7 linked regions of the Nothobranchius furzeri genome follow. The protein of the gene in region 4 binds, or shares a complex with, the protein of the main gene of each other region. Links are inferred from orthologs where the notes say so. Each region holds a gene or a part of one and is shown on either strand. Other genes may lie near its edges. The genes, in order: armc7, rbm48, rbmx2, cwc22, snw1, snrpf and snrnp200.

Region 1 (4,213 bases), on a different chromosome or scaffold from region 4:
CTTTTTGTTATTTTAAGTGCAATATGAATTATTGTTTGTTTTGTTTATGTCTTTATTGCATGCACCAATAAAAGATGTGATTGAAGTCTTTATTGAATTTTATTTGTTTGTAATGGGAGTTTAAACTTTAGCATATTAATTTGAGCTGAACTGAGATTAAAACTTCAAAATCTTCTCTAACCTCTCCATTATGAAGTTAAAATTTATATCTCAGACTTGATACACCTTAATGACAAAATACAAGTCCTGATACTTTGGTTTTAATTCAACCCTGATAAAAAAAAAAATCGTTTATCCAGTAATATTTTTCTCCCACTGTTTCTGTTTGGCTTAGGGGTTTAGTCTGTTTTTCCCAGATAGTAAGTACATTTTATTTATATAACACCCATCACAGACAGTAATCACAAAGATAAAAAAAACAAGACAAATTAAAGATGATTCGAGTTAAAAATAAGGCTATTTATGTAGATGGTGGTTAATTCTGCTCCCGCTTGACCAACACGAGTGTCAAAATTTAAAAGCGTGGTTCCTGCTCAGCTGAACTTCCATCCAGTCTTATAATTTACTGATTTACTGGATGACTGTAATGTCTGATGGCCTGTAAAGCATCAGTCGTCTGCAAAAAGTTCATATGTTCAGTCACTTCCTGTCTGTTGCTGCTTCTTCTTCTCCACCAGCTCTTTCTGTTTCTCCCTCCTCTCCAGGACTTCCATCATCCTGGCATAGTTGCGTTCTCGCTCCTGGGCCTTGAGCTCAACCACGTCTTCAAGGAACCTGTGTCTGCATAAACGACAAGCAAATATGTTTACGATTTGCTGCTAACTCATAGTATTTAATATTTTTGCTTCAGTCTCCAATGACAGTTTCACCGTCACACCGGTGTTACAGTGAAATGTGTTGTGCGTGTGTTTCTTTTACGCAGTTAGCAAAGCTCAGTTTCACCTGTTAATGAAAATAGTGGCGAGTCCAACCAGCAGAGTTCCGAACAAAATGGGTTTGGCGAGGCGCTTTCTCGCGGACAGCCGGTGGTGATTCATTGTTGCTGTTTTACTTAAATAAACAAAGCGACATAGCGTTTTTGTTAAGCTGACCTCCCGCAACGTGCGTTATGTGCTGTTGTACGAGCACATAAACACAAACACACCTTCTGCTCCTTAACTTCCGCTCAGCTGCCGGTGTTGTATCAATCTCTGTACACCATTTAAAATGTGTTTCCTCATCGGCTCGCGTAGCTCTCGCGTATTTCATTGCACAATTGTGACAGCAATGCTAGCATTTATAACGTTATAGGCGAGTTTATAGCAACGATGTTACGATTTCGTGTAGCTAAAAATGCGTTACTCTTTAAATCATGCGAAAGTGAACGGGGAACACATCTTCACGGACAAACAAGTTTTGATAAAACAGCGGAACAAATATCTACTTGCGCAGTTTTTCCGAACACTTATGAGCCGCGGACCCATACGTGAAATGAAAACAACCTCTGAATCAGCTATGAACGGTCAAGTAACTTAAACATCAGCATAATCTGATATCTGTGTGAATTTTATTTGAAGTGTTAAATGTGTTTTTGCTAAAAGATGAAGAGAAATGAGTCAGCTGAAGCGCCTGAACGGTTTGAATATTTACAGACGCTGGTTACTGAATTTCAGGACACTGACAGTGAAGGTAGGAATAACCTTTGATCTGTGTTCTACAAAGTTAAAATAAAAACCGTTTTAAAACGAACACGTAGACTCTCAACACCCTCAGTTTAGATGCATGCTATTATTTATTAGTGATGGGAATGGCTCAGCTCACCAGAAAGAGCCGGCTCTTTCGGCTCCCAAATGGCTCCTCAGATTTTCTGTTTCGTAGAGTACATTTATAACCAAAATAATGCAAAACTATATGTAAAATTATTTACTAATGTAAAAAAAAATGCAATATATCAAATATTTATAATTTCTATGGATTTAATAACTGAACACTTTAAGAAATTGTCACTTTCCGACTGCTGGCGCTCATTTTCTCACCGTCTTCATCACACTCTCCTCTCTATCTCGCTCACCTTTTTCCTCCTCATTCCCTCTCGTCTACCTCCACCTGCATGTGCTCTGCTGTGTGTCTGAGTCTGATTCTCCCTCTTCCCCGTCCCTACTGCTCTGTGTGTGGACAGTCTGGTCACACAGTTACACATGTTGACCAATCGCCTGTAGCGTTCACCAAAGCAAGAGGGGAGGGGGGAGGGGAGGGGACGGCTCCCAATGATGAGCCGGCTCCCGTTGTTCACTTCAAAGAGCCGACTCTTAGAGCCGGTTCGTTCGGACTGACACATCACTATTATTTATATCGTTAGAGGGCTTTTTCAGAAGCCGTTGTTCAGTCGAAAACTGTACTCTCCATCAGTATATTTATTTGAAGTGAGAGAAAAAAAATCGTCAAAAGAACATTTGTATATATGTTAGACCAGTTTTTATCCATTGCAATAGGAGAAAGGCTGACTATCAGCATTAGAATTGTGTTCAGAAGACAAAAAGATCACAAATACATGCAAATGACTTCATGAAGTTAAAATTTTTCGAAAAAGAATCTGTAAACATGACTAAATCAGGTAGAAGTGAACAAATACATCAAATAAGCTGTAATTCTAAGCAGCGTTTTAAGTTTTATTCTGAAAGTGTATCGTTGTGACATGAAATAAATGTAAGCTTAGTATTTGGAAACCAAAAAGTGACGTTATTTAACCAAATTCTGATTGTTCATTCTACATGTTAGTTCACTTTGAGATTACTGCCATAAGTAAACATTTTCTGTTGGATTTTACCGCAGAAAGCTGCTTGTTTTTATTTTTAAAAAAACGGTGTTAAAAATAAGTAGCCAGATAATGTGATGAATTAAATAATGCGCTAGTTCCACATCCATCCATCCAGTTGTAAATATCTACACTGGCTGCCATTAAACTATAGAAACGATTACTAAGTGCTACTGCTAGTTTATAAATGAGGCCAAAATACATGTTGGATCTCCTTCCTGTATATATACACCCAGCAGGGCTCTGAGATCCTTAGGAAACAGTCAGCTGGTAGAACCTCGGGTCAGAACCAAACAGGGTGAAGCTGCTTTTAGCTACTATGCTGCTCACAGATGGAATCAGCTTCTTTATGACCTGAAATGTGCCCCAACTCTAGTAACTTTTAAGTCAAAATGGAAGACTTTCATGCATTCATCAGCCTTTGAAGGATTATTTCTCATGCTGTACCTTCTGCGCTCAGTCTTTAACTTTGTCTTTTATTTTATTTCTTACATTTAATTTTATTAGAGTATTTAAAATTTGAATTTAAAAGCTGCTGTTTTACGTCGTCACGTTGATTTTAATCTTTTATGATCATGCTGGTCATGCACCTGGAAAGTACATTGAATAGCTTCAGTGTATGAAATGTGCTACACAAATAAAGCTGCCTCGCCTTTCTAGTTTACAGACAAATCTTATTTTTATACTGTCAGCTCCACATTTGAGCCTGAAGGGTGTTTTGATGTGAAAGTAAAAAGCGCCCCCTGTGGTATAAATGTGTACTGTTTCTGTGCTGCAGCCTCTGTTTATCATTGTTTGTAATGAGCTGGTGTAAGGTGAATTAGTGGATGTAGGTATCTCTGTTTGTTTCATTACTTTTTCTCTTTATCAGAGGCAAAGGAGCAGGTTCTGGCAAATCTAGCCAACTTTGCATATGACCCAAAGAACATGGAGTACCTGAGGGAGCTGCAGGTTCCTGACCTGTTCCTGGACATGTTGACCGAAGAGAATGAGAACTTTGTGGAGTTTGGGATGGGTGAGCATCTCTCCAACTAAAACAGTAAATCATGTTTGTTTATGTAAAAATCATCTAAACTCAAATATTGTGTTGACAGGGGGTCTGTGTAACCTCAGTATGGACCCTGGATGCAGAGACATCATCTTGGAGAACGATGGGATCAGCTTGATCACAAACCACCTGTCAAACCGGAGGGAGGAGACGGTGCTGTCTGCCGTCACCACCCTGATGAACCTCACCACACCAGCGACCTGCTCTCAGATCACAGAGCCAGGGATCGTTCAGTGCATGCTGCGCTTCTCACTCGCAGAGAGCCCCCGTCTGCGCAACCTGGCCTCGGTCTTCCTGCAGGACTGCTGCAGCCAGGAGCAGGTGAGACAGGCTGAGCTGCAGATGCAGGGGGTGCAGACGGCCATCGGGAT
Region 2 (4,171 bases), on a different chromosome or scaffold from region 4:
GGAAAGGGAGAGAGAAAATGAATAGGGAAGCGGGAAATCAGTGGATCACGGAAATGTGGAATAAGTGCAAAGAGCAGAACAAGGAGAGGGTGGTGAAGGTCCCACCAAAGCCTGAACAGGTGACTTTTCAGCTGCTTTTTAAAGGAGACCACTGAGTCCACTGATCTCAGGCTCAGGGGGAGAGAGGTCCACAGTCTGGGGGCCACACCAGCAAATGATCTGTCACCTTTGACCTTTAGCCTGGTGCTGCACAACCAGTTGGCTTTGATCACTGGACCTCAGGGACCTGCTGGGGGTGTAGGGACTAAGAAGATCACCAATGTAAGATGGTGCTTGTCCATGTAAGGCTCTATAGACCAGAACCAGGATCTTGAAATGAACCCTGAAGTTGACTGGCAGCCAGTGAAGCTGGAGGAGAAGCGGGGTGATGTGGGTGCGTTTGGAGGACTTGGTCAGAAGCCGAGCACAGGCGTTCTGAACCACCTGTAGACGGTTCAGGGAGGTTCTGCTCAGACACGTGAAAAGAGAGTTACAGTAGTCTAAGTGTGTCTCTCTAAGTCTCTAATGCAGTAAAATAAGGCAAACATAGATGTCAAGGAAGCAATTCACCTGAAAATCCTAAAAACCAGCAGCTGTCGTTGATTAGGTAACTGTTTGCTTTGCATGTTTATAAAATCTCAAACAAAAGTACTTTCATCTGAGCATAAGACAACCCGGCTAGTCGTTTAAAAACTGTCATCTGTTTATGCTAGCACAGACATTATACATTAAAACTAAGTCTTAACGTACAGAAATGATCTAAAAAGCAGTAAATCAACATGAAATTAGTTAGCTAACCTACCTCGTTCAAGGAAAGATGCGCTACCAACTTGGAAGGGAGGTGAAGAAAGCAGTTTTTTGTGTTGTTAAAAACGACACGAACGGCTTGAATTCCCTGGTTGCTAAACATAATTTTCGCATTGCTAGCTAGCTTAGCATACACCAGGCAGAGAGAGCAATTGGATTTATCGATGTGCTCTGTGGACGATGGACTCCTCACCAGGCAAAAGTAGTTGATCTTTTGCTTTCAAAATAAAAGAGTATTCTAACAGGCAGCGCGACGGTATTCACTGAACTGTAAGCATTTATTTTGAAAGTGTTAAACCGGAAGCGCAGACGCATTCACTGAACTAAAAGCGTTTATTTTGAAAGTGTTAAACCGGAAGTGCAGACGCATTCACTGAACTAAAAGCATTTATTTTGAAAGTGTTAAACCGGAAGCGCAGACGCATTCACTGAACTAAAAGCGTTTATTTTGAAAGTGTTAAACCGGAAGTGCAGACGCATTCACTGAACTAAAAGCATTTATTTTGAAAGTGTTAAACCGGAACAGCATTTAGAATAAGCATGGCGGTCCCTGTAAACAACAGCTCCGGTTGTTGGAAAGTTCCTGACGTTCACAAACATCACGAACAGCAGAAAGTTTGCATTTCTCGACCAAAGTATCGAGAAGGAAGAAGAGCTAAAGCGGTTAAGGTGAGACAATCTTAGAAGTTATTAATTTCAGCTAAAATGTTCATAAATTCTGTAAAGAAGACACACAAGATTTGCTTTAGCTTAATTGGTAACATCATTCTAATACTGCACTGAACGCAGGAAATGTAACTTTAGTCTTGTGAATTTCCAGGTGTACACCATTAACCTAGAGTCCCGTTTCCTGATGGTACTGGGAGTCCCAGCTATCGGTGTGATGACGGAGCTGGTCCAGCTGTGTGCCCTGTATGGTGTTGTGGAGGAGTACAGACCTCTGGACGAGTATCCGGCTGAGGAGTTTACAGAAGTCTACCTCATCAAGTTCCAGAAGCTAACCAGCGCCAGGTACGATTTATTCGCTCCTCATACTTTACTGGAAATACCTGCTTAATCGTTATCGAATGTTTCTGTTTCAGAGCAGCCAAACGCAACATGGATGAGAAAAGCTTCTACGGCGGTGTGCTGCATGTGTGTTACGTCCCAGAGTATGAGACTGTAGAAGACACCAGGCTAAAGCTACAGGACCGGAGGGGTTATGTTATGAGAGCAGCTCGGAGCAGAGGTATCGTTTAACATCATGTTTGATTTAGTTCTGACCTTTAAATGTTGCTTTTCAATGCTTTAAAACAAATCTTCTCTTACAAAGCAAAAGCGGCGCACAGCGAAGGCTCCGCATCATCGACGACTGCATCAGACATAAACGTCAGACACGATCAAACCTCTAAAAAAGAATGTGCAGAGGATGCTTCAAACCACAGCCAACATGCAGAATTCCCTCCTCTCCCATTACCTCCATGGGAGCAGCATCCCTTTGGACATAACAGTCCACATGGGATCAGCGCACAGGAGGACAAAATGGGAACTTTACATGATGCCATCATAAACTTGAAACAGCCCCAAGTGGAAAAGTTAAGCGTTAACCAAGCCTCAGAGAGAGACCACGACACAGAACACAGACTGACCTCAGATCAGGCTTCAGCATTCAGGTTTCTCCCAAGGTCCTCGCACTTGGAGATCAGGAAACGCAGAATGGAAGAGGCTCCCGAGCAGTCGGCAAGTGTTTCTGGAGGAACCGAGACCCTGATTGGACCGAAATTACCAGAACCACCTAAACTGGACATGAATGATGACTCGTTGAACACAACTGCCAGCCTGATCAGGAACACAATGAAACAGGTCATTGTTGATTCAGTACTTTAATAATTTCATAAAAAGTAAATCAGCCTTAATGAAGGATTAAAACATGTGAATCTTTTTTTTTTTTTTTTCAGGTGGGATCTGCTCCGGGTTTCAAAGCTGTTGAGAAAAAGACAAAACCACGTCGTCGGATATGATCTGGACAGGTGTCTAGATGGGAGTCTTGGAAGAAAACCGACGCTCCCACTGCTTCGGAAAACTGTTTATCTCATCGGCTGTTGTATGCTATGATACCAACCTGTATAAAAAAGGTTAAAAAAAACAGCTATTATGTAAAGAGTGCACAAATTTACATTTAGAAAGCTAAAGAAATACTAATACTGTGTTTCCTATGTGCATGTTGCCGTGGCGCGCCACTACGGAAAAATAAAAGCTGCCACACCTTCAGAAGTAAACAAAAAAAAAACTTCAAACAACGTACCTTCAGAAACATTTTTTTTGGATATACATTAAAACAATAACGAGACATATATAGTCTATATTTGTGCATGTGTACTAACCATAGTCACAGTTTAAAATAAATTTTATTGCAACAAAACTTTAAACTGCAGTTCAAAAAGATCTACCGACCGCTAAATTAGCGAGGGCGCACCGGTGTGGTGAAGTCACCTGAGGACAAAACAGGTGATGCGCTTCGCTCCGCAGCAGCAAAACGCATCGGGCACAAATAAAAGACAGGAAGCATAAAAAGGACACGAGTCGACATAAACAATCGTGTGTTATACGTGGAGACACTGAGAATGTTACTGTCGCCATGCTCAGGACACCGCTCTGGTGCGCGCCAACCATCAGGAGGTGAGCGAAGGAGAGACAAGTGGAGAGGCAGAACAAGGACCAGCATGCATAAGTGAGCATGATGAGGGAGAGAGCAGCAGGGAAGCGGTAAGAGGGAAGAAAAAAGTCAGCACAGAGAATCTGGCTGGGACCCAAAATGGACAGAAATCAAGTTCCGCCCATGGCTGTAATCAAGGTGGGAATCAAGCAATACAAATTATTTCAAGGTAAATATATTTTTACATTTTTTTTATTTAATTGTAATTAAACAATAAGCTGATTTACACACCTGCGATGGACTGGCTCTCTGTTCAGGGTGGCACCAGCCCCCAACCCCCCACCCCCGCGACCCTACATGGACAAAGCGGGTTCAGACAATGGATGGATGGATGTTTTACACACACCTGCAGGAATGTTCATCGAAAAGCATACTGCTCGTGTCTCAGAGCGACCGTCTCCGCACGTCTCTCCACCACGGTTTATCAAAATCGTAGAGGAAACCCTGAGCATGTTATTTTATCTCACACTGTCAATATTTTAACTGCTAAAACTTTCTGCATATTAGGAAAATCTTGAAATCCTTCACATGGGTGCAAATTTACCACCAAACAAATAAAATGGTCACAAAAACATTAGAACAGTACTAATTAAAGAAAAATAACAGCCCAAAATAGACTTTTACAAAAAC
Region 3 (3,974 bases), on a different chromosome or scaffold from region 4:
TCAGGTTTGTTTTACTTTTGACTCTCGAATCATCTGCATGGTTTCAGTCCAGTTCCTCAGACAGTAAACAGACGCCGAAACATCGTTGCTTCATCCTGATGTGACTTCTAATCTAGTGGTTCTGGTTTGACCTACTCTTCGTGTTTGGGTCAAATCAGAACTCAAAACAACACAACAGTTTGGGTCTAAATGTGTCCCAGACTGTGGAGGCGTTACCGTGACGACCAGAGGTTGGTCTCCAGTCAGCGCTGTGACCTTCTCATAGAAGATGTTGACCACATCGTTTCCTCTTTGGCCTCGGTCTGATTGTTGGCTTGGGTTAAGCTCTAACTCCTGATAGGGTAAAGTCTCACGGGACTGGAAGCAAAAGGATACAGTCCTTGTAGATGAGATGGTCCCCCTTGGAGGACAGGATGAAGACCTGAGAGATCATCCTCCTGAAAGGAAGATCACAAGCACAAGATTAATGATAATGATAACTAATATTTATATGGAATATCACACCTTATTGATCATTTAATAAAAGTGACCACTTCCGTCACGTTACAACATGTTTATCAGAGTTGGAATAAAGCCAAATCCTATCTAATTTATTGTATTATAAGTGTTAACAGCACTGTTGTGTACTGGTGAGAACCTGCAGATAAAACTACAGAAGTTCCGCTAACGGAAAGGTGGATCTGTGAGGGGTTACAGCTGCTGTACTCGCCTGCGGAAGGTGTGGGGTCTACCTGGAAGAACCAGATCTTACTGCGGCTATTTTTAACAGAACTTCAAAGGAAATGAAAGCACGGCTGGTGCTGCTTTGGCTAGCAGTAAGCTATAGATAAACTTTAATAACTCACAGGGCCGCAGTTTTCAGAAACGCTGAATACAACCAGATAAGCTCATTGTCTGCAGGGTTACAAAGCTAACCTGACAGAAAGGTTTTGGGTTTATATTCAGGTTATAGCTACGGTTTACGACACGGCTCCGTTAGCATGTAGCCCCACAGCGCTCCCTTGTGGACAGGAGGTTGAATGAGGATTGCATTAATAACTTTATATTTATTAACTTCACGATGAGTGAACTCATAGCTACGTAAGAAATTGCTTCAGATACATCAACCTAGATGGTTTGGGTGTGTTATATAAACCCGAGAGAAATAATCTGCACATGTTTAATGATCGCTTGTAGTTTAGATCTCCAAACTGCAGAGGGCAGCAGAGACGAACCAAACGGAAGTGGTCTACCTCAACAAATAAAACGTCTGATCTGTGCCCTAATTTCTGTAACTAACTATGAAGTAAGTACATTTATGTATTCATAAATGACACGAACCACCGACACAACACTGTTCTACTTCTTGTCGTGTAGTTAAAGTAAAAAGAGCGAGTTCGTTATTCTGCGGTTTGATGACTGATCCTGGTGCAGCATGCTAGCTGTTAGCTAGCTCCTACTCGTAGCCGATCGGATTCTGCTCAAAAAACAGATAATTTAACATTTTTTCCTTAAAAACCAGAGAGAGCATGTAATAAAACATAAACACCCAGTTGTGTTTGGGATGTAGCATGTATCTTTGATGCTTCAAGAAGACATTTGATCATGTGTAGGTTGGCTATTGTTTTGTTTACACCCCTGACCTTCTACTACGTGTTTTATTCTAGACCAGTGTGTCTGATAAAGTTGACTAATAATTTATGTCAACTGCTGATGAAGACAGGACCACAAGCTTGGTCATATGTGGTGTTATCTTTTTCTCATGAATGTTTCTACGTCTGCTGCAAAAAAAAAGATCATTCGACTAATAAAACACACCACTCCGATCGTATTTACCCCGGAAGTCAAAGGGGACACATTTACATGTATATCCAGCCATTGTCTGAACCCGCATATCCTCACAGGGTTCTGGGGGGCTGGTGCCTATCTCCAGCAGTCTCTGGGCATGCAGGCGGGGTACATCCTGGATGGGTTGCCAGTCCATCGTCCATCGTAGGGCAGCCCAGAGGCACACAGGACAAACAACCATGCACAGCCACCTAAGGATGATTTAGGCAGACCAATCAACCTGACAGTCGTGTTTTTGGACTGTGGGAGGAAGCCGGAGTACCCGGAGAGAACCCACGCATGCACAGGGAGAACATGCAAGCTCTATGCAGAAAGACGGGCTGGGATGTAAACCCAGGACCTCCTTGCTGCAAGGCAACAGCCCTCAGAATTAAAATGTCAAATTTAAATCAAGCCAACAAGTGAAACGGAGCAGCTCGACCAGGAACACCGTGGTCCTGCTGGAGGAACAGGATTATGCCTGCTGCTGCTGAAGGGTCATTAGGGTCAGGCTCAAGGTTGGGGTTGAATAGAAAAGCTCGACTCTTTTTCTCTGTAGTCCAAACAAAAAGCAGTTTTTCTTTCTAAATTGTCCTGACAGCTTTTCACAATAAAACTCCAATTGAGTCAGAATCAGGTCCAGTCCCTAACGGGACGATTTACTGAGCAACTTGTGTGTTTTCAGTCCTCTAACGAAGGTGAAGCTGATTAACGAGCTGAATGAGCGCGAGGCTGACCTCGGCATCAGCGAGACCGTCTCCTGGCACACAGAGTACCGGGACAGTGCCTGGATCTTCATCGGTGAGAACTCCTCAAACCCAGCCCTTCACACGTGGAGACGTTGGGATGAGTTTGGTGTTTTGGGCTTTTGGAGACGATTTGCTTCTGTTCATTAACAACATAAAAAGGGATCTCATGAATGAAACTGTTGAAGTGGGTTTGTTTGGTTCTGATGATGCTTACGAGGTCTCGTTTCCTGCAGGAGGGTTCCCCTTCGAGCTGACTGAAGGAGACCTGATCTGTGTCTTCTCCCAGTACGTACATGCTTACGTCTCACCTGCTTTACGTTATAGCTGACATGACAGTGACGTTTGTCTCCTCTCGACAAACCTGCCAGGTACGGAGAGATCGTCAACATCAACCTGGTGAGAGACAAGAAGACGGGGAAGTCTAAAGGGTTCTGCTTCATCTGCTATGAGGACCAGAGGAGCACCATCCTGGCAGTGGACAACTTCAATGGCATAAAGGTGACTTCCTGTCCTCACCAGGTCCTGGTGTGGACCCAGCGCCGCTCCTTGCTGGCCCACAGCGGCATCAACATGGTCTCTGATGAGACAATTAGCTAAAATCTTTTTGTTGTTGTTTAAACGTTCAGATTAAAGGTCGAACTATCCGCGTGGATCACGTTAAAAATTATCGTCCTCCCAAAGACAACGAGGACATGGACGATGTGACCAAACATCTCAGAGAAGAGGGCTGTGCTCCCAAAGGTCCTACTGTTGTCCCCTCTTCCTCTGAGGAAGAAGAGCAGTGCGTCGTACCTGCGAAGAAGCCCAAAAAAGGTGAGGTCACTTCCTGTTACCTGAAAGTCACCTGATCTAGGACCAGGTGGACTTATTTCCCTTTTCTGTCTCAGATAAGAAAGAGAAGAAGAAGAAAAAAAAGAAAGAGAAGAGGAAGAAGAGCAGAGCTCCCTCTTCATCACCTTCTCCTCCTCCTGCAGTCTTCAGACTGAAAGAGGAGAAGCAAGACGCCGCCTACGACAAGTACAACCACAAGGAGGTGCCTGCAGGGCAGAGGACGAGGGACACGGAGAGAGGAAAGGGGACAGACAGGAATGAAGACAAGTGGAGGAACTGTGAGAGAGAGGTGGACAGAGACAAGGACAGAAGAGACGACTATAGGAGACAAGAGATGGACAGAGACAAAAGACGAAGAGAGAGGGAGTGGGACGAAGACAGAAGAAAAGACGGAGACAACAGGAAACGGGAGCCGTATAGAAAATAGACAGGTTGTGATTGGCCGATCCATGGTGTGTGTGTGTGTGTTTTAATGTTTCGTATTAAAATCTGACCTGAACACCTGATACACTTCATGTCTGATGTCCAACACCTGAGGACGGGTGAGACTTTTACAAAGCAACACGTTGGCGAACTCGTGAAGCATTT
Region 4 (3,500 bases):
CAGTTAACAAACCACTATCAATGGCTTATTTTGATAAAACTCTTAATTTATGGCTTGTTAAGGTTAGAATTAAGGCATTAGTAATAAGCTCTTAATAAGTGCTTAATACTGACTAGATCAGACTTAGTAGTCCACTAATATGCATATAAACTGGCAGCTAATTAATGGTTAATTTGTGTTCCCCAAACTAAAGTGTTACCGAATAATTATATTATTATTATTATTTATACATCTATAGATCTATTAATGAAAAATATTTTCTGATAAATGCAGATCATAAAGTGTGTGTTCATACGAGTCTTTCAGCCGCTGGTTGAGTTTTGGCAGACCCATGTAGGCACAGAGCTCCTGGAAAAGGATTTTTACAAAAATCCTGCTGGATGACGTTGTCGTGTCCTCACTCATCCTGATGCACTCCAACACCTGGTCGTAAAGAGACAGGGAGCAGGTTTAATCAGCGTTTACTGCGTGCATGTGTGTGCGTGCGTGTGTAAATGAGTTTCTGTGTTCTTACACTCCATGGTATGGAGTCCGTGAAGAGCAGATGAGCAAACAGTCGGGCGACGTTCCTCAGTTTGTTGGTCTCCAGTCGGTGGATCGTGTCGTACTGCTCTGAAAATATCACCTCAAAACTCTCCATGTACTCCTTCTTCAACAAACAGAACCTCTGAACAAATACACACATATTTTAAATGTTCCACCTGCTTAATATTCAAGCTTCTCGCTATTTGACAGTTTAGGCAACAGCACCTAGGATTTAAACATCTCACTGCAAAATCATGATTTCAGCACTTGTTTGCTGCATTTTCACAGAATTCTCAGATTAGGCAAATGAACTCTGCTGAAGTGACTTCTGCTGCTCAGTTTGTTGATGTTACACTTCATCTCAGAGAGCAGGTGCTTGTACTTGTGTCCCAGAAGCTAAACTCAGCGAAACAACGATCAGCATTTTGCTTTAATCCGCCCTCATCTATATACTTAATTGTTAATTTATTTTATCACTCAGCAGTTTCATTCATCAATCATGCAAAATACAATCATCAACAGTCTCCTAAGTGGAAAAAAAGGGGGGAGGAAGAAGTAGTCTTGTACGACATACCCCTTTCTACTTCATACAATATAATTTACAGAATGGCCTTATACACAAAACAAGTACAAAACTTCCTTATCTTAGTAAACAAAATCACAATTAAACGTATCAATATAGATATTCAATATTTACTTATCCGTCATAGGACTCTATGACTTTTTCTTTATATAGTCTCTTAAATTGATCAGTAGTTAAACATTTTTTCAGGTCATGATCCAGATTATTCCATAATTTTACTCCATATACTGAAATACACATTTGCTTTAATGTTGTTTAAGCAAAAACTCTTTTAAACTCAGGCTTCTATTTTTTCCATCATTTAAAATCAAAACAAAAAACTTTTGTAACTTCACTGGCAGTAACCTCTTTTTTGCCCTGAACATAATTAGTAAAGTTTTCAAATTAACCAAATCCCCGACTTTCATAATTTTTGATTCATTAAAAAGTTTATTGGTATGTTCCCTAGCATCTACTTTATATATAATTCTCATTGCTTTCTTCTGTAATAAAAACAAAGGATTAGCGTTTGTTTTATATGTGTTGCCCCAAACCTCTATACAATAAGTCAAGTACGGAACAATAAATGAATAATATAATATATGAAGTGTTGATGACTCCAAAATACTTTTCTTTATTTAAAAGTCAATTCAATTCAATTCAATTTATTTTATATAGCGCCTAATCACGACAAGAGTCGTCTCAAGGCACTTCACATAATAAACATTCCAATTCAGGTCAGGTCATTAAGCCAATCAGAAAAAATGTTTCCTTTATAAGGAACCCAGCAAATTGCATCAAGTCACTGACTAGTGTCAGTCATTTTACAGCAGTCCTCATACTAAGCAAGCATGTTGCGACAGTGGAGAGGAAAACTCCCTTTTAACAGGAAGAAACCTCCAGGGGATCCTGGCTCAGTATAAGCAGCCATCCACCACGACTCACTGGGGATCGAGAAGACAGAGCACACGCACGCACGCACACACACACACACACACCAAGAAATGTGTCTATGGTGTCCAATACTTTTACACAGTTTTTGTTTTATATATTTTATATGGGGTTTCCAATTAATACTCGTCGTCGTCTTCCTCCGCTTATCCGGGTCTGGGTCGCGGGGGCAGCATCCCAACTAGGGAGCTCCAGACTGTCCTCTCCCTGGCCTTCTCCACCAGCTCCTCCGGCAGGACCCCAAGGCGTTCCCGAACCAGATTCTCCAATGTGTCCTGGGTCGACCCGGGGGCCTCCTGCCGGCAGGACATGCCCGAAACACCTCCCCGGGGAGGCATCCAGGAGGCATCCTGACCAGATGCCCAAACCACCTCAACTGGCTCCTTTCGATCCGGAGGAGCAGCGGTTCTACTCCGAGTCCCTCCCGAATGTCCGAGCTCCTCACCCTATCTCTAAGGCTGAGCCCAGCCACCCTACGGAGGAAACTCATTTCGGCCGCTTGTATCCGCGATCTCGTTCTTTCGGTCATTACCCAAAGCTCATGACCAAAGGTGAGGATTGGGACGTAGATCAACCGGTAAATTGAAAGCTTGGCTTTCTGGCTCAGCTCCCTCTTCACCACGACAGATCGGCTCAACGCCCGCATCGCTGCAGATGCTGAACCAATCCGCCTGTCGATTTCCCGATCCCTCCTACCCTCGCTCGTAAACAAGACCCCGAGATACTTAAACTCCTCCACTTGAGGTAGGACCTCTCCCCTGACCAGGAGTTGCAAGCCACCCTTTTCCGGTCGAGAACAATGGACTCAGATTTGGAGGTGCTGATCCTCATCCCAGCCGCTTCACACTCGGCCGCGAACCTACCCAGCAAGAGCTGAAGGTCAGAGCTGGATGAAGCTAGGAGGACCACATCATCCGCAAAAAGCAGAGACGAGATTCTCCTGCTACCAAACTCGACACACTCCACACCACGACTGCGCCTAGAAATTCTGTCCATAAAGATAATAAACAGAACCGGTGACAAAGTGCAGCCCTGGCAAAGTCCAACCCTCACTGGAAACAGGTCCGACTTACTACTGGCTATGTGGACCTAACTCACGCTCCTCTGGTAAAGGAAAGCCACCCACCCCATACTCCTGGAGCATCCCCCACAGGGTGCCCCTGGGGACAAGGCCATAAGCCTTCTCCAAATGCACAAAACACATGTGGATTAGTTGGGCAAACGCCCATGCCCCCTCCATCACCCTTGCAAGGGTATAGAGCTGGTCCACAGTTCCACGGCCAGGACAAAAACCACATTGCTCCTCCTCAATCTGAGATTCAACTATCGATCGGCCCCTCCTCTCCATTACCTTGGAGTAGACCTTTCCAGGGAGGCTGAGGAGTGTGATCCCCCTTTAGTTGGAACACACTCTCAGGTCACCCTTCTTAAAGAACTCCACAGGAACTGCCCCCGATGACCA
Region 5 (3,562 bases), on a different chromosome or scaffold from region 4:
ACGTTTGGCTGCAGATGGAAGAGGTCTTCAAACCGTCCACATTAATGAGAACTTTGCCAAGCTGGCCGAGGCGCTCTATATTGCCGACAGAAAGGTGAAAAGATGGATGTTCTAGTGCTTTCTGAGGTTTGAACGTGTGTTTGAACTCGAGTGCTGGCTGTGTGTTTAGGCTCGAGAGGCCGTGGAGATGCGAGCGCAGGTGGAGAAGAAGATGGCTCAGAAGGAGAAGGAGAAGAAGGAGGAGAAACTCCGCGAGCTGGCTCAAATGGCTCGAGACCAAAGGGCGGGGATAAAAAGCCACGGGGACAAAGGTTCGGGAGACCAGAACTTATTTCAGTGCTTTCTTGGTGGATGTGCTGATTAGTGAGCCAGCAGAGGAGGTTCTGTCATCGGTGCCAGTTCTGAATCTGGCAGAAGGGATTCACACCCTGCTAGTGTTGACATGACTGTGAGGGGTAGACATAACCATTCCATCTGCTCAAACATCTTTTATTTCTTCCTTCTTCACTTCCCTCTGTCTTCACATCTTCTGTTTTGCACTTTTCCACCTTTTTTAACTCTTTTTCATCTCTCCCTCCATTTTACACCCTTCTTCCTCCTCTGATTCCCCCCCCACCACCACCACCTCTCTCACACACACACAGCAGGTGGTGAGGACAGCGAGGTCAGGGAGCGTGACATGATCCGCCATGACAGAAGGAAAGAGCGGCAGCACGACAGGAACATTTCCAGGGCGGCGCCCGATAAGAGGTGCGGCACACTCATCCCCGCAAGTGTACTCCTCTTTCACAGACTCGCTGCTGAATCATTTATGGGAGCAGCACTAATACGGAATCAGAACAGCTTTGTATGCAAGGTGTTTGTTCAGAGAGAGAGGGTGTGCGCGTGCGGGTGGGGTTTGGGGGGGGGGGGGCAGGACAAATGTAGAGGGTGAAATTCACAGGAGAGCTCATTGCAGTCACAGCTCCAGCTGTCAGAAGGGCAGAGACCTTGTTATCTGAAAATTACCTTTCACTCCACTTAGAGGTGGCGGTTTGCTGAGGGACACTGGTTACACACACACACACACACACACACACACACACACACACACACACACACACACCAAATTAAATCTGCCAAACTATAGAATCACCAAGCTTGAAGGAGATTTGTTCAGCTTTTTACTTTGAATTGAACAGCTGAAAAATCTGGTTTCAGATGACTTTCCTCCAGAAACGGTTCAGATCTCATCGTAAAACAAACTGAAACAAACATTGAGGGACAATCTGAACTAGGTTTTTGTTTTGAATTCTGCTTTAAGAACAAGTCGGAACATGGAAATAAACCTGGAGTTTGTTTATTTATTTGCTAAATGTTTTGTTAATGAGGATATTTTCATTGTGAGGCTAAAGATCCGGTTCAGAACTTCAGTGGAGATGCAACCGTTCATTCGCTGATGACCAGAACTGATTAATATTTAGCATGACCAGGAACTCTTAACCAGGGTTCTTAGCGTGCTTGAAATCTGAAAATGTTTTAAACTGGTTTAAGTTCTTTAAACTTCAGCTGAAATTAGTTGTAAAACAATAAAAGTTCTACAGACACGGAAGGGAAAAATGTTTTGATATAATCTCCTTTTCCTTTGTTATGTAACAAACGTCTTTTTCTTGGCAGATTTGTTTAATTTTACTTCCGTTCTGTAGTTTTTTTTGACAGTTTGCCGTGTTTTCTTTTTCTGTTTCAGGTCAAAGCTGCAGAGAGATCAGGACAGAGACATCAGTGAGCTCATTGCTTTGGGCAAAGCCAACCCTCGTTTCACCAGCGAGGCTCAGTACGACCAGAGGCTCTTCAATCAGAGCAAGGTTGGCACACACACACACACACACACACACACACACACGCACACACAGTTTCAATTCGGACGTTGGAAGATTTTTGGTGATTTCATTTGGAAAACAAATCTTAATAAAGTTAATTGACAACAAGCGTTTGAATTCAGATCAGGTTATAATTCGTCCTGCTGTCTTAGAAGATGGATAAATATGGAATTTGTTTGCAGTTTTTTCCCAAAAATCTGAAAACTCACATTTGGAAAGCAAAGCAAAGTTTTAAAAAGTTCCTGTTTCGATCAAACCCGTTTCTCCTGCTGTTACCCGTTTGTTTCAGGGGATGGATAGTGGTTTTGCTGGTGGCGAGGATGAGACGTACAACGTGTACGATCAGCCGTTCCACGGAGGCAGAGACATGGCCTCCAACATCTACAGGCCCAGCAAGAACATCGACAAAGACGCCTACGCCGATGACTTCGACTCGCTCATGAAAAACAACAGGTCCGTTCACCTTGATGCGTGCCTCGTCTCACTTGTGCTGAAACATTTCCACCATAATGTGACACCTGAGGAGAGTTGGCGATGAGGACTGATTGTTGTTTTTTTTTGTCTTTCATCAGGTTTGCTCCAGACAAAGAGTTCTCAGGTGCGAACCACGGCCAGAGAAGAGACGGGCCGGTCCAGTTTGAGGAAGATCCCTTCGGTCTGGACAAGTTCTTGGAGCAGGCCAAACAGCACGGCGGCTCCAAGAGGCCTTCGACCAGCACCCGCTCCAAGGACGACTACCATGACAAGAAACGCAGGAAAGAGTGAGACCCCTTCAGAGGGAGATGACTTCTGTGGCTCAGCACAAGAGGGATTCATCGGTCCGTCGTTACGATTTAGTCAGTTTTCATTTCCCTTTTCTCATTAAATCTACGCTGAAGAGCTGTGAAGGAAATGAGAAACTGTTAGTGTGCTGTTGTGTACATTAAACTGATATTACAGCTAAGTCCTGTCATTCCTCTGCTCTAGCTGAATGTTGCTTTAGGTTTTTTTGTAAATACTTACCAAACCCAACCGCAGACTCAGCAGGAGCCGGTACTGCTTCATATTTACACTTTCCCCCTTTTCCCCTCGTCTTCGTAGCAACTTCTATTTAAAACCTTAGTTAGTTTGTCCAGCAGAGTCACAAACGAGTGGGAGTCATTCAGACGAGCTTTATAAATCTTGTATGTTGCAACCAGTGGAATAAATTTCATATAAAGTGTTTTTATTTTGTCTTATTTCCACATCCGGTCCATTTTCTCCTTGCTGCTGTTTCTCGTTCCAGGTGTTACCTGCTTAAATCTTCAACCACAGTAAAAGCACATTATCGGGTTCTAGTAGTTTCCCATCCTTTAAATCAGTTCCTGAGTAATTCAGCCTATTAACCGATGATTAAACACGTTCAGAGAAGCCCATCAATCACAGCATGAGGAGTTGCTGCGGTTAATGTGATGATTAGATCACTGTTTGTTTAATTAATCAGGGTTTATGCAGCCTGTCTGCTTTATTTTCCCCGTTTGTGTGTGTGTGTGTGGGGGGGGGGGGGGGGGGGGGGGGGGGATCATGGAGTTGTTCCACAGCCCAGCAGACCCAGATGTCTGAGTAAAGTCATCTTTCAGTCACGCCTCAGCGGGGTTCCGGTGCTTGTTGCGCGATTTATGTTACCTGACTCGTGTCGAGTTTGATACTTTTATTAGCTGCAGAAATAATAGCTTCAAGCTTTG
Region 6 (4,119 bases), on a different chromosome or scaffold from region 4:
TGTGATTGTTGTCATTCTGGTAACTTTGATCGCTTTTATGTAATTTTGTGTCTCTTTGTGGTCGTTTTGCTGATTTTATTGGTCTTTTAGAATAAATTGTAGTTTTCTTTTCATTGTTTGTTACTAATTTAAATGATTTTTATTTCATAACTTCTAATCTTTGTGACCATTTGGTGAAAATGTCATCTTTTTTATTTTATAGCCTCGTAAGACTAATTTTGCTATTTTAAAATCATATTTAATTAATAAATAATTTCCCTTTTGTTTTTGGTTGCTTTGCACGAGTTACTTTCTTGTGACTACAGTTTTTGCAACACTGCAAATTTATTTGTGTCTCTTCATCATTTTGCAGCTCTAAATACGTTTTTAAACACATGAAAAATATATTATGCTTTCTTTATCGGTTCAGTCGGTCTGTCTGTCTGTAACAGATTTTATTACGCCTCATGCCAACAGTAGTTCTCATACAACTCATGCACCCTCTGACTGGCCACTTCTCTAAACCTCGCGTACCGTCTCCATCCCATAACTGAGACCAGACTGTCTGATGGACGGGTTAATTACACGTTGGAAAGGTGAGGTCGGGAAAATACTCAGTGATGTAAAGAAACAAGTATTTCAAACATGCAGAGAGAGATCCAGAGCAATTTCATAGGAATTTTTCTGACAAAACCCAGCCATTTGCTGAATGAAGTCAGATTTCGGTTTTATTCACCATGGCAGGTTTGAACTTGCCTGACTTTTTGGTAACAGACAAACGCTTCAGAGCAGAAAACATTTTTTAAACATCGGGCTTCTTGTGCCTGGAGAAAAACAAAGCTGCAGAGAGCAAGCATGACCCAGTTATGACAGTCGTGCCAGGTTTAGCTCCTAAACCGATATGTTTTCAATCAGTCACTGATCCTGCATGACATAAATAGAGCAGGAGTTCAACTCAAGGCAGATGACATGATCTTGTTGCTGAGAATGAAAACGAGTTTGAAGAAAATTATTACTAGTTTTTCCTGGACTTAATAACTGATTTTTTTTGCCATTTTCTTTTGTGAATGTAGAGGAGATACAACTTTTTGGACTGGACTTTATTTCTGTATCGTGCCACGAACATATAGCAGATACTCTATAAACAACTGACATATCAACCCCAGAGATCGTGCATACATATTGTAGGTGTTTAATTCACGTTTCGTTTATCAGCTCACAGTTTACTGTTCAATGGGTGACTGTAAATGAGAGGAAGAGGGGAAACTTTTGGAGCTTTACACTAAATCACTTGGGTAGCAGTTCGCTCATCCGGCCACTGGGAGGCGCTGTTTAAAGCACGGAGACTCGTGCCCAGGTCGGAAAGTTGTACTTCCGGTCGGCGGTAAAGCGTGCTTCGTGGTTTGCAAACGTTATCGAGACGAACATATTTTACTTTTTTGATTTAGCTTATTAAAGCTGTTTAATTTGATATAAAATGGTGAGTAAGACGTTGTATATCTTTATCGTCTTGCGAATGAACTATCAGGATTTAATTCAGTGTATTTTTGTTGTTTAGCGTTAGCCATGTTAGCTTTTCATTCATAACTTCGACCTAGACCTTTCACACCCTCAAACACATATTAACACAAAACTGGTGTTATAAATCTTCGGTTTCTTATTCCCTTTGGGTTGTAAGCCGTCTACTCGTTCATCACTGTTAATAAACAAGAGAAAAGACCGCAGAGGCTACATCAACCGCTAGCATCCCCTCGCTTCCTGGCAAAATAAAGTCCAAACTATTTCGCTAAGATCGTTTATCAAAAGCTTCCATAAGGAAATGAATATATATTAATAATATGTCTCTCGACCTTTAGCTATTTAATCTTTATAATGTGAGCTAACTCCTCAGGCCTTTAAGTCCACGGTGTCCTGTAGCTAGCCTTAAGAGAGATGATCGGTTTAAAACAAGCGACTCAGAATGAGCTAAGAGCATCTTTGGTGTGTGCTTGCTGTGTTGAAATTCTAATTCCATCTTTTAGTTATTTTTAAAACACAGAAAGGTTTTATTTGCCTGCAACGTTTCGTTTGCGGCTGCAAACTTCGTCAGGCTGACGCTGCAGGTAAATAAAACAGCAGTAAAGCATTTAAACCTTTTTATTAAACCACCTGACCCGGATTAACCTTTGTGTTATGGGAGAACATATTAAAATTTAATAGTGATTGAACAAAATAATGCAATTTAAAGAAAAATAACACTATTAGGATTTAACAGCTTGTTTTATTACACAGATCAGTTGCGCTGATTCATTAAACGTTTTTTATGAATAAAATTAGATTGGTTAAACAGCTGTTTGGCCATTAAGTAATTCATTAGTAAAGTCAATAAAAATGATTTACTTTGCAGTAGATTTAAAGTTTGGATTCTACGCAAAAACGTTTAATTGAATCCGGATTTCCTTCATGTTGGAGTGAGGAGTATCTGTGTTGTAGGACGGACGGCTGGGGGTACGCTGCTGTTCAGCAGCGTTACAAATTCATGAAATGTAGTCGTTAAATGCATTTAATTTTCTTCAGTAGTGTGGGATGTAATGGCTTTGCTGACCTCTGTTCTTCTTCTACAGAGTTTACCTCTGAACCCGAAGCCTTTCCTGAACGGCCTGACGGGAAAACCTGTGATGGTGAAGCTGAAGTGGGGTATGGAGTATAAAGGCTACTTGGTGTCTGTGGATGGATACATGAACATGCAGGTGGGTGCCGTTTCTCCTCCTAACAACCAAACCACAGAATCTTCTCACATGGAAAAATAAACCATTTAATTATTTGTATACCTGCTCAGGATTTGCTACTGCTTGATGATTTTATTGTGTGGTTTTATCTGTGTCAGACTTCTTTATTATCATAAATTTGGTTAAGCCAAATCAAAATAAATGATAAAATTAAATTTGTACCCCAGGAAAATTCAGCTCTTTAGACCCATCATCCTGCTTGTTTTCTATGTTTCTTTGCTTCAACACACCTGATTTGAGTCATTAGGCGAATAATGAGCTGCTTCAGAAGAATTAAGCTATTGAATCAGGTGTGTTGGAGCAGGTAAGGAACTAAAACATGCAGAACCAGGGCTCACTGATGTTCTTTAATCAGTTCAACTTCAGATCATAGTCAGACTGCTGAAAGGTGTTTATCTTCGTGTCCAGCAGGGGGCGTTGTTTGATCAGTTTGAGGGAATTTTTGCTAAAGAGACTGAAGTGAATAAAGTCATGGCTCCAAAATGTCTAAGGAAACTTCATGTAATTATAATTTTACTTATTAATATTAACAAAGCAGCCTATTTATCCTTCAGCAGCAGTAAAATACAAATGTTCCCAAAGCAGGGTGTGTTTTCAAATGTTTGCATGTATATTTGGGAACAATATCTAGGATATGCACCCAGTTGTCAGCGAAATGCAAATCAGTTCAACAGCAGTTGATGAAGTTCTAACAGCTTTTTAAAAGTCTAATCCATAAACCTCCACTGGAAAGAATATAGATGCAGGAATTAGGCCTGCAGCTATCGAATATTTTTGTAATCGAGTACTCTATCAAATCTTTTATCGATTAATCGAGTACTCTATCAAATCTTTTATCGATTAATCGAGTACTCTAATAAATGACCCTTTTGTGTTTGTAAACCATTATATCAAATAGCATGTTATAAAATATGAAAGACCTCTTAAAATGAGTACGCTATTGCCAGTTATTCTTCAAGTTTTATTCAAAATCAGTTTGCAAAACTTCAGCACTTCAACTTTACTTCACAGTAAACAAATGCCTGTGCAAAAAATAAGTAAACAACCTGAGCTAATTTCCCCCGGTGTGAGAATCTACGAGCCTGCAAGCCAGACAAAAACTAGGATAACTGTTGAAGTAGCGCTGCGAGTGGCTGCGGCCCAAACAGAACCAGAACCGCTCACGGCGCATGCGCAATCATGGCTCGCCAGCTGTTTCCCTATTAACACACGTCCGTTTTAATTTCTACACTTTATTTTCTCACACAATAACAAGGATTGTCGAGAAAGCATGTTTGCCGTGGTTTTGTCGAATTATACTGATCACAAAACATTTATTTACTTTCGTTTTCCTCTCATAAATACCCGCGTCCTCCTGCAGCAACCCCGAGGG
Region 7 (4,245 bases), on a different chromosome or scaffold from region 4:
TTCACTGGAAGATGGTCCACTTAACGCACGGGTGTAGACTACATATTAATGACAAATGAATGAAAATTAAATTGTGAGTTTTTACTTCATATTTTAGAAATTAAAATGACGGGGGAACACGTTTATGACGTCTTTTTAAACTAAATTTTCTAGCGCGACCTGCCTGCTTCACTTAAGTCACTGCTTATTAAGGTCCGTCCAAAATTACCATGGCCCACCCAAAAATGAAAACCTGGCGCCGCGCCAGTTATAAACCTCTGCAAATTGTTGTTCTTCACGTTATCAAACTTAGACTTTGTACAGCTAATGTCAAGATGTAAAATTATGAATTCAGTCGAGCTCTTCCGTCACTCCCTCTCCTGCTCTCCTGGAAACCCGACATCGGCTGTTAGAAGCGGAGGTGAAGAAGGAGATGAGGCAAACAGAGTGAGTGCGACATAAAGAAACCAGACTGGTGTGGAGGTGAGCAAAACAGCTGGAAAAGTGTGGGCGTTGAATCCCCCACGGGTGCGATGTCCATGCGAGCGACCTGTACCTGCTGCTGTCACCTGGTTGTGAGCAGCCCTCTGCTGTCTGAGGGTAGGCCCCGCCCACAACGCTGCGGCTACTGCGGTGTTTTCTTTACTGTGGGAAACGGGTAATAATGGCTCTTTGATGGGAACAGGTTGCTGACCCCTGAGCTGGTAAAACAAAAATCCTCATCAGCAGGCTTTTTTGAAAGTGGGGGGGACACAGCTGCCAATCACAAATTTTGCCGGGGACATGTCCCCGGCGTCCCCGGTTAAACTGACGCCTATGTTTATTTTACGTAAAACTTCACACGGTCCCAGTTCAATTCAGTAACTTTATTTATTAATTCCCAATTCACAACAAAGTAAACATTCCAATTGAACCTAATAATTAGTGCAATTAATTTAGTTTACCACTGAGACTTGTTAAAAGTTTCCTATCAAAGGAAACCCAGCAGTAATTGTGACTTTGACACAATCATTTCCCCACGGAGGGACAATAAGGACATTTTCTATTCTATTCTAAAATATTTTGATTTTGTCATCATATAGTTCTTGGTTTCATTAAAATTCATCTGAAAGACCAATCAGTGGTACATCAATGACACATCTTTTATTCAGAGGAAGACTTCTTTTTGTCCCCCTTTCTCTATTTTTTGTTTGTTGACTTTGTACAGTTTAGAGCCTGTACTTTTTACTTTTTACTAAATAAAGACGGTCACTAAATACTTTTACTTTTACCAGAGCATTTTTATACAAAAATGTGTACTTGTACTTCATTAGAGAACGTCAGAACTTTTGCCATCTGGGTTTCGTGAGATTTAGCCATCGACATGTAAAAATATCGAATAACATCCAAATTGAATGATTTACACCAAGCCTCTAGAGGGCGCTGTTTACCTTTTGTGTCTGTTTCATTCCCTTTGACACCGGAAGAGGAAATTTCTGCCCACTTGTTGTGCGCTCGTGCTAGCCGTGCTTTTGTTACGTATGAAAAACGCTACTTTCTGTTTGTGAGTAAAAGTGGTTTAATGTTTGAAATTAGAACACGCTACTAATGTTCACAGCGTTTTAACAAAAGTACAGAGTGACGTCAGCTCTGTGAACTTCACTAGTGCGCGTGCTGGTTCACAGAGAGCGGTGAACCCCGGAGGAAAAGTGGCACCATGGCGGATGTTACTGCTCGTAACCTGCAGTATGAGTACAAAGCGGTAAGTATGTTGGGTGTAAATATAATAACTCGGGGTTATTAAACGTTTCTGTGACTAGTGATTTCTAATTATGATGTTTAGTGGATCGTGTTGCCGGAGCCGAAGCAGCTCAGCCCGCTGAACTGATGGGTCTCATTTAATTGTGTGTTTGTAGAACTCAAACTTGGTGCTGCAAGTCGATCGTTCTCTGATCGACCGCACTCGGAGAGATGAATCCACCGGGGAGGTGGTGTCCCTGGTGGGGAAAATGGAGGGGACGAAGATGGGTGACAAGGCTCAGAGGACCAAACCCCAGAAGCTCGAAGAGAGACGAGACAAGTCAGTGCAGCTAACACTGATGTTTTTAAAACCATTTACCTGTTAGAATCGAGGTACAGGTGGTGTTTTCGTGTGTATGATTCTTATACAATTTAAAACATTCTATAATTTACTTGAACGTTGAATAGATCACATTTAACATGAAATATACCTCAATTAGGACAGTAATAGAATTATTCAGATTTAAATGAAATGAAAAGAACCGTCTTTGACCTTCATCCTCCTTTAATTGTCATTAACAAACGTGTGAAGCATGTAATTGCACCATATACTTAAAAGGTGTAGTTTTGCTGTTTGAAGTGGGGTTTGATGTGGAACAGCTGCATATGTTTAATCTGTAGGAGACAGCAGATTGATTGCAGTTTAGAGGAAAAAAATCTGAACTATCCCGTTTTATCTCACAACAGGAGACGTAAAAGAGATGAGGACAGACATGATATCAACAAAATGAAAGGCTTTACCCTCCTGTCTGAGGGCATCGATGAGATGGTGGGCATTGTGTACAAGCCTAAAACCAAAGAAACCAGAGAGACGTACGAAGTGTTGCTGAGCTTCATTCATGCTGCGTTAGGAGACCAGGTTAGTGAACGTCACAACACTTAAGACTTTTGCACTGTTGATGGCGAACGCACAGCTGATGTGAACTCCAATTGTCTGCAGCCGCGTGATATTCTGTGTGGAGCAGCTGATGAGGTGTTAGCGGTGCTCAAGAACGACAAAATGAGGGACAAAGAAAGGCGTCGTGAAGTGGAACAGCTTCTTGGACCTTCTGATGACACGCGCTATCATGTGCTGGTCAATCTGGGAAAGAAGATCACAGACTATGGTGAAGACAAGGACCTGCAGAATATGGGTAAGCTACTTTAAAATATCTTAATAAAGTGTTTCGTTTATTTGGTGACCATGTTCTCTTTAAGCTGTTATCAAATCATCTAAATCTTTTGTTATTTATCTGCAGATGACAACATTGATGAGACGTACGGTGTCAATGTCCAGTTTGAGTCTGATGAAGAAGTACGTTTTAATTATTAATGTCTTAGTTGTATTTAAACTGATTAAAATGAAAAAGTGATTTTTTTTCCCCCCGTCTTGTTACTTATATAAAGGAAGGAGATGAAGACCAGTTTGGTGAAGTACGAGATGAGCACTCGGATGAAGACAGTGAAGGAGAGGAGGCTGTTGTGTCCACTAGGCTTACAACCAATGTAAGTACAGCCTTTTTGTTGGTTCAGGTGGTATTTCCACAGTTTTCTTCTCTCTGATTTAAAAATTGAATTCTGTTTTGTTGTAGCTTAGCGAAACGGGTGGCGTGATGACGGTGAAGAAAAAAGACCTGCACCCTCGAGACATTGACGCCTTTTGGCTCCAGCGTCAGCTCAGCCGCTTCTATGATGATGCTATTGTCTCGCAGAAGAAAGCCGACGAAGTCTTAGAAATCCTCAAGGTGGGATTTTCACTGTTTTTATTAGTCACGCAGCATAACGTAGCATCTTTTGACACCTGATGCCTTTCTTGTTCTACAGACCGCCAGCGACGACAGGGAATGTGAGAACCAGCTGGTGCTGCTTTTAGGCTTCAACACTTTTGATTTCATTAAAATCCTCCGTCAGCACCGTCGCATGAGTAAGTTGCGCTCGTTGAATTGCGCTGGGCTATGATGTTCTGTTGCACAACTTATTTGAAGTTGCTGGTTTTTATCTTGTCTGACTCACAGTTCAGTATTGTACCATGCTGGCGAGCGCTCAGAGCGAAGCAGAGAAGGAACGCATCATAGGAAAGATGGAGTCTGACCAAGAGCTGTCCAAGATCCTGTACCAGCTGCAAGAGACGGAGAAAGAGGACATTATTAGAGTAAGACATCTTGGTTTTGAACTGTTTGTCACCACTTTGCAAGAAATGATTTTCCATATTTTGTTTTTGTTATTCAGGAAGAGCGATCTCGCAGGGAGAGGGTGAGGAAGTCTCGTGTTGATGACTTGGAGTCAATGGACATTGGTCATGGAGAGGTAACTAGTGTGACATGGTCCAGGTAGCCGGGTAAAAGTGTGTGTGTGTTGAGAACATTTGTGTTTCTCATCCTACAGTCGGTAGTCCCTCGGCAGGTTCTGGACCTCGAAGACTTGACGTTCACTCAGGGTAGCCACTTCATGGCCAACAAACGTTGTCAGTTGCCCGATGGCTCTTTTCGTAAGCAGCGCAAAGGTTAT

The links.
Region 1: cwc22 (region 4) and armc7 share a complex: the UniProt entries of both Homo sapiens proteins name them as parts of the minor spliceosome. The link is inferred for Nothobranchius furzeri from reciprocal best matches to the Homo sapiens genes CWC22 and ARMC7.
Region 2: cwc22 (region 4) and rbm48 share a complex: the UniProt entries of both Homo sapiens proteins name them as parts of the minor spliceosome. The link is inferred for Nothobranchius furzeri from reciprocal best matches to the Homo sapiens genes CWC22 and RBM48.
Region 3: cwc22 (region 4) and rbmx2 share a complex: the UniProt entries of both Homo sapiens proteins name them as parts of the minor spliceosome. The link is inferred for Nothobranchius furzeri from reciprocal best matches to the Homo sapiens genes CWC22 and RBMX2.
Region 5: cwc22 (region 4) and snw1 share a complex: the UniProt entries of both Homo sapiens proteins name them as parts of the minor spliceosome. The link is inferred for Nothobranchius furzeri from reciprocal best matches to the Homo sapiens genes CWC22 and SNW1.
Region 6: cwc22 (region 4) and snrpf share a complex: the UniProt entries of both Homo sapiens proteins name them as parts of the minor spliceosome. The link is inferred for Nothobranchius furzeri from reciprocal best matches to the Homo sapiens genes CWC22 and SNRPF.
Region 7: cwc22 (region 4) and snrnp200 share a complex: the UniProt entries of both Homo sapiens proteins name them as parts of the minor spliceosome. The link is inferred for Nothobranchius furzeri from reciprocal best matches to the Homo sapiens genes CWC22 and SNRNP200.

What each region holds. Positions count from the first base shown.
Region 1 is NC_091756.1:50,515,025-50,519,237, forward strand, and holds the start of armc7 (armadillo repeat-containing protein 7), read left to right. Parts: upstream 1-1,413; 5' UTR 1,414-1,446; coding exon 1,447-1,506; intron 1,507-1,580; coding exon 1,581-1,668; intron 1,669-3,665; coding exon 3,666-3,809; intron 3,810-3,888; coding exon 3,889-4,213. UniProt on the Homo sapiens protein: As a component of the minor spliceosome, involved in the splicing of U12-type introns in pre-mRNAs.
Region 2 is NC_091759.1:22,195,839-22,200,009, forward strand, and holds rbm48 (RNA-binding protein 48), read left to right. Parts: upstream 1-1,371; 5' UTR 1,372-1,386; coding exon 1,387-1,515; intron 1,516-1,666; coding exon 1,667-1,857; intron 1,858-1,928; coding exon 1,929-2,074; intron 2,075-2,158; coding exon 2,159-2,688; intron 2,689-2,783; coding exon 2,784-2,846; 3' UTR 2,847-3,769; downstream 3,770-4,171. Other genes in the region: peroxisomal ATPase PEX1, read right to left, coding at 842-949. UniProt on the Homo sapiens protein: As a component of the minor spliceosome, involved in the splicing of U12-type introns in pre-mRNAs.
Region 3 is NC_091750.1:26,772,697-26,776,670, reverse strand, and holds rbmx2 (RNA-binding motif protein, X-linked 2), read left to right. Parts: upstream 1-1,174; 5' UTR 1,175-1,280; coding exon 1,281-1,285; intron 1,286-2,491; coding exon 2,492-2,607; intron 2,608-2,788; coding exon 2,789-2,840; intron 2,841-2,923; coding exon 2,924-3,053; intron 3,054-3,181; coding exon 3,182-3,368; intron 3,369-3,442; coding exon 3,443-3,813; 3' UTR 3,814-3,892; downstream 3,893-3,974. Other genes in the region: ap4m1 (AP-4 complex subunit mu-1), read right to left, coding at 217-302, 376-437. UniProt on the Homo sapiens protein: Involved in pre-mRNA splicing as component of the activated spliceosome. As a component of the minor spliceosome, involved in the splicing of U12-type introns in pre-mRNAs.
Region 4 is NC_091754.1:30,044,086-30,047,585, reverse strand, and holds part of cwc22 (pre-mRNA-splicing factor CWC22 homolog), read right to left. Parts: intron 668-3,500; coding exon 515-667; intron 424-514; coding exon 296-423; intron 1-295. UniProt on the Homo sapiens protein: Required for pre-mRNA splicing as component of the spliceosome. As a component of the minor spliceosome, involved in the splicing of U12-type introns in pre-mRNAs. Promotes exon-junction complex (EJC) assembly.
Region 5 is NC_091742.1:20,657,740-20,661,301, forward strand, and holds the end of snw1 (SNW domain-containing protein 1), read left to right. Parts: coding exon 1-94; intron 95-169; coding exon 170-311; intron 312-644; coding exon 645-750; intron 751-1,726; coding exon 1,727-1,844; intron 1,845-2,148; coding exon 2,149-2,312; intron 2,313-2,431; coding exon 2,432-2,624; 3' UTR 2,625-3,062; downstream 3,063-3,562. UniProt on the Homo sapiens protein: Involved in pre-mRNA splicing as component of the spliceosome. As a component of the minor spliceosome, involved in the splicing of U12-type introns in pre-mRNAs.
Region 6 is NC_091741.1:34,923,132-34,927,250, reverse strand, and holds the start of snrpf (small nuclear ribonucleoprotein F), read left to right. Parts: upstream 1-1,319; 5' UTR 1,320-1,456; coding exon 1,457-1,459; intron 1,460-2,582; coding exon 2,583-2,708; intron 2,709-4,119. UniProt on the Homo sapiens protein: Plays a role in pre-mRNA splicing as a core component of the spliceosomal U1, U2, U4 and U5 small nuclear ribonucleoproteins (snRNPs), the building blocks of the spliceosome.
Region 7 is NC_091757.1:37,093,425-37,097,669, forward strand, and holds the start of snrnp200 (U5 small nuclear ribonucleoprotein 200 kDa helicase), read left to right. Parts: upstream 1-1,445; 5' UTR 1,446-1,675; coding exon 1,676-1,720; intron 1,721-1,874; coding exon 1,875-2,038; intron 2,039-2,445; coding exon 2,446-2,617; intron 2,618-2,698; coding exon 2,699-2,891; intron 2,892-2,996; coding exon 2,997-3,052; intron 3,053-3,144; coding exon 3,145-3,243; intron 3,244-3,329; coding exon 3,330-3,482; intron 3,483-3,561; coding exon 3,562-3,661; intron 3,662-3,752; coding exon 3,753-3,889; intron 3,890-3,966; coding exon 3,967-4,044; intron 4,045-4,122; coding exon 4,123-4,245. UniProt on the Homo sapiens protein: Catalyzes the ATP-dependent unwinding of U4/U6 RNA duplices, an essential step in the assembly of a catalytically active spliceosome. Plays a role in pre-mRNA splicing as a core component of precatalytic, catalytic and postcatalytic spliceosomal complexes.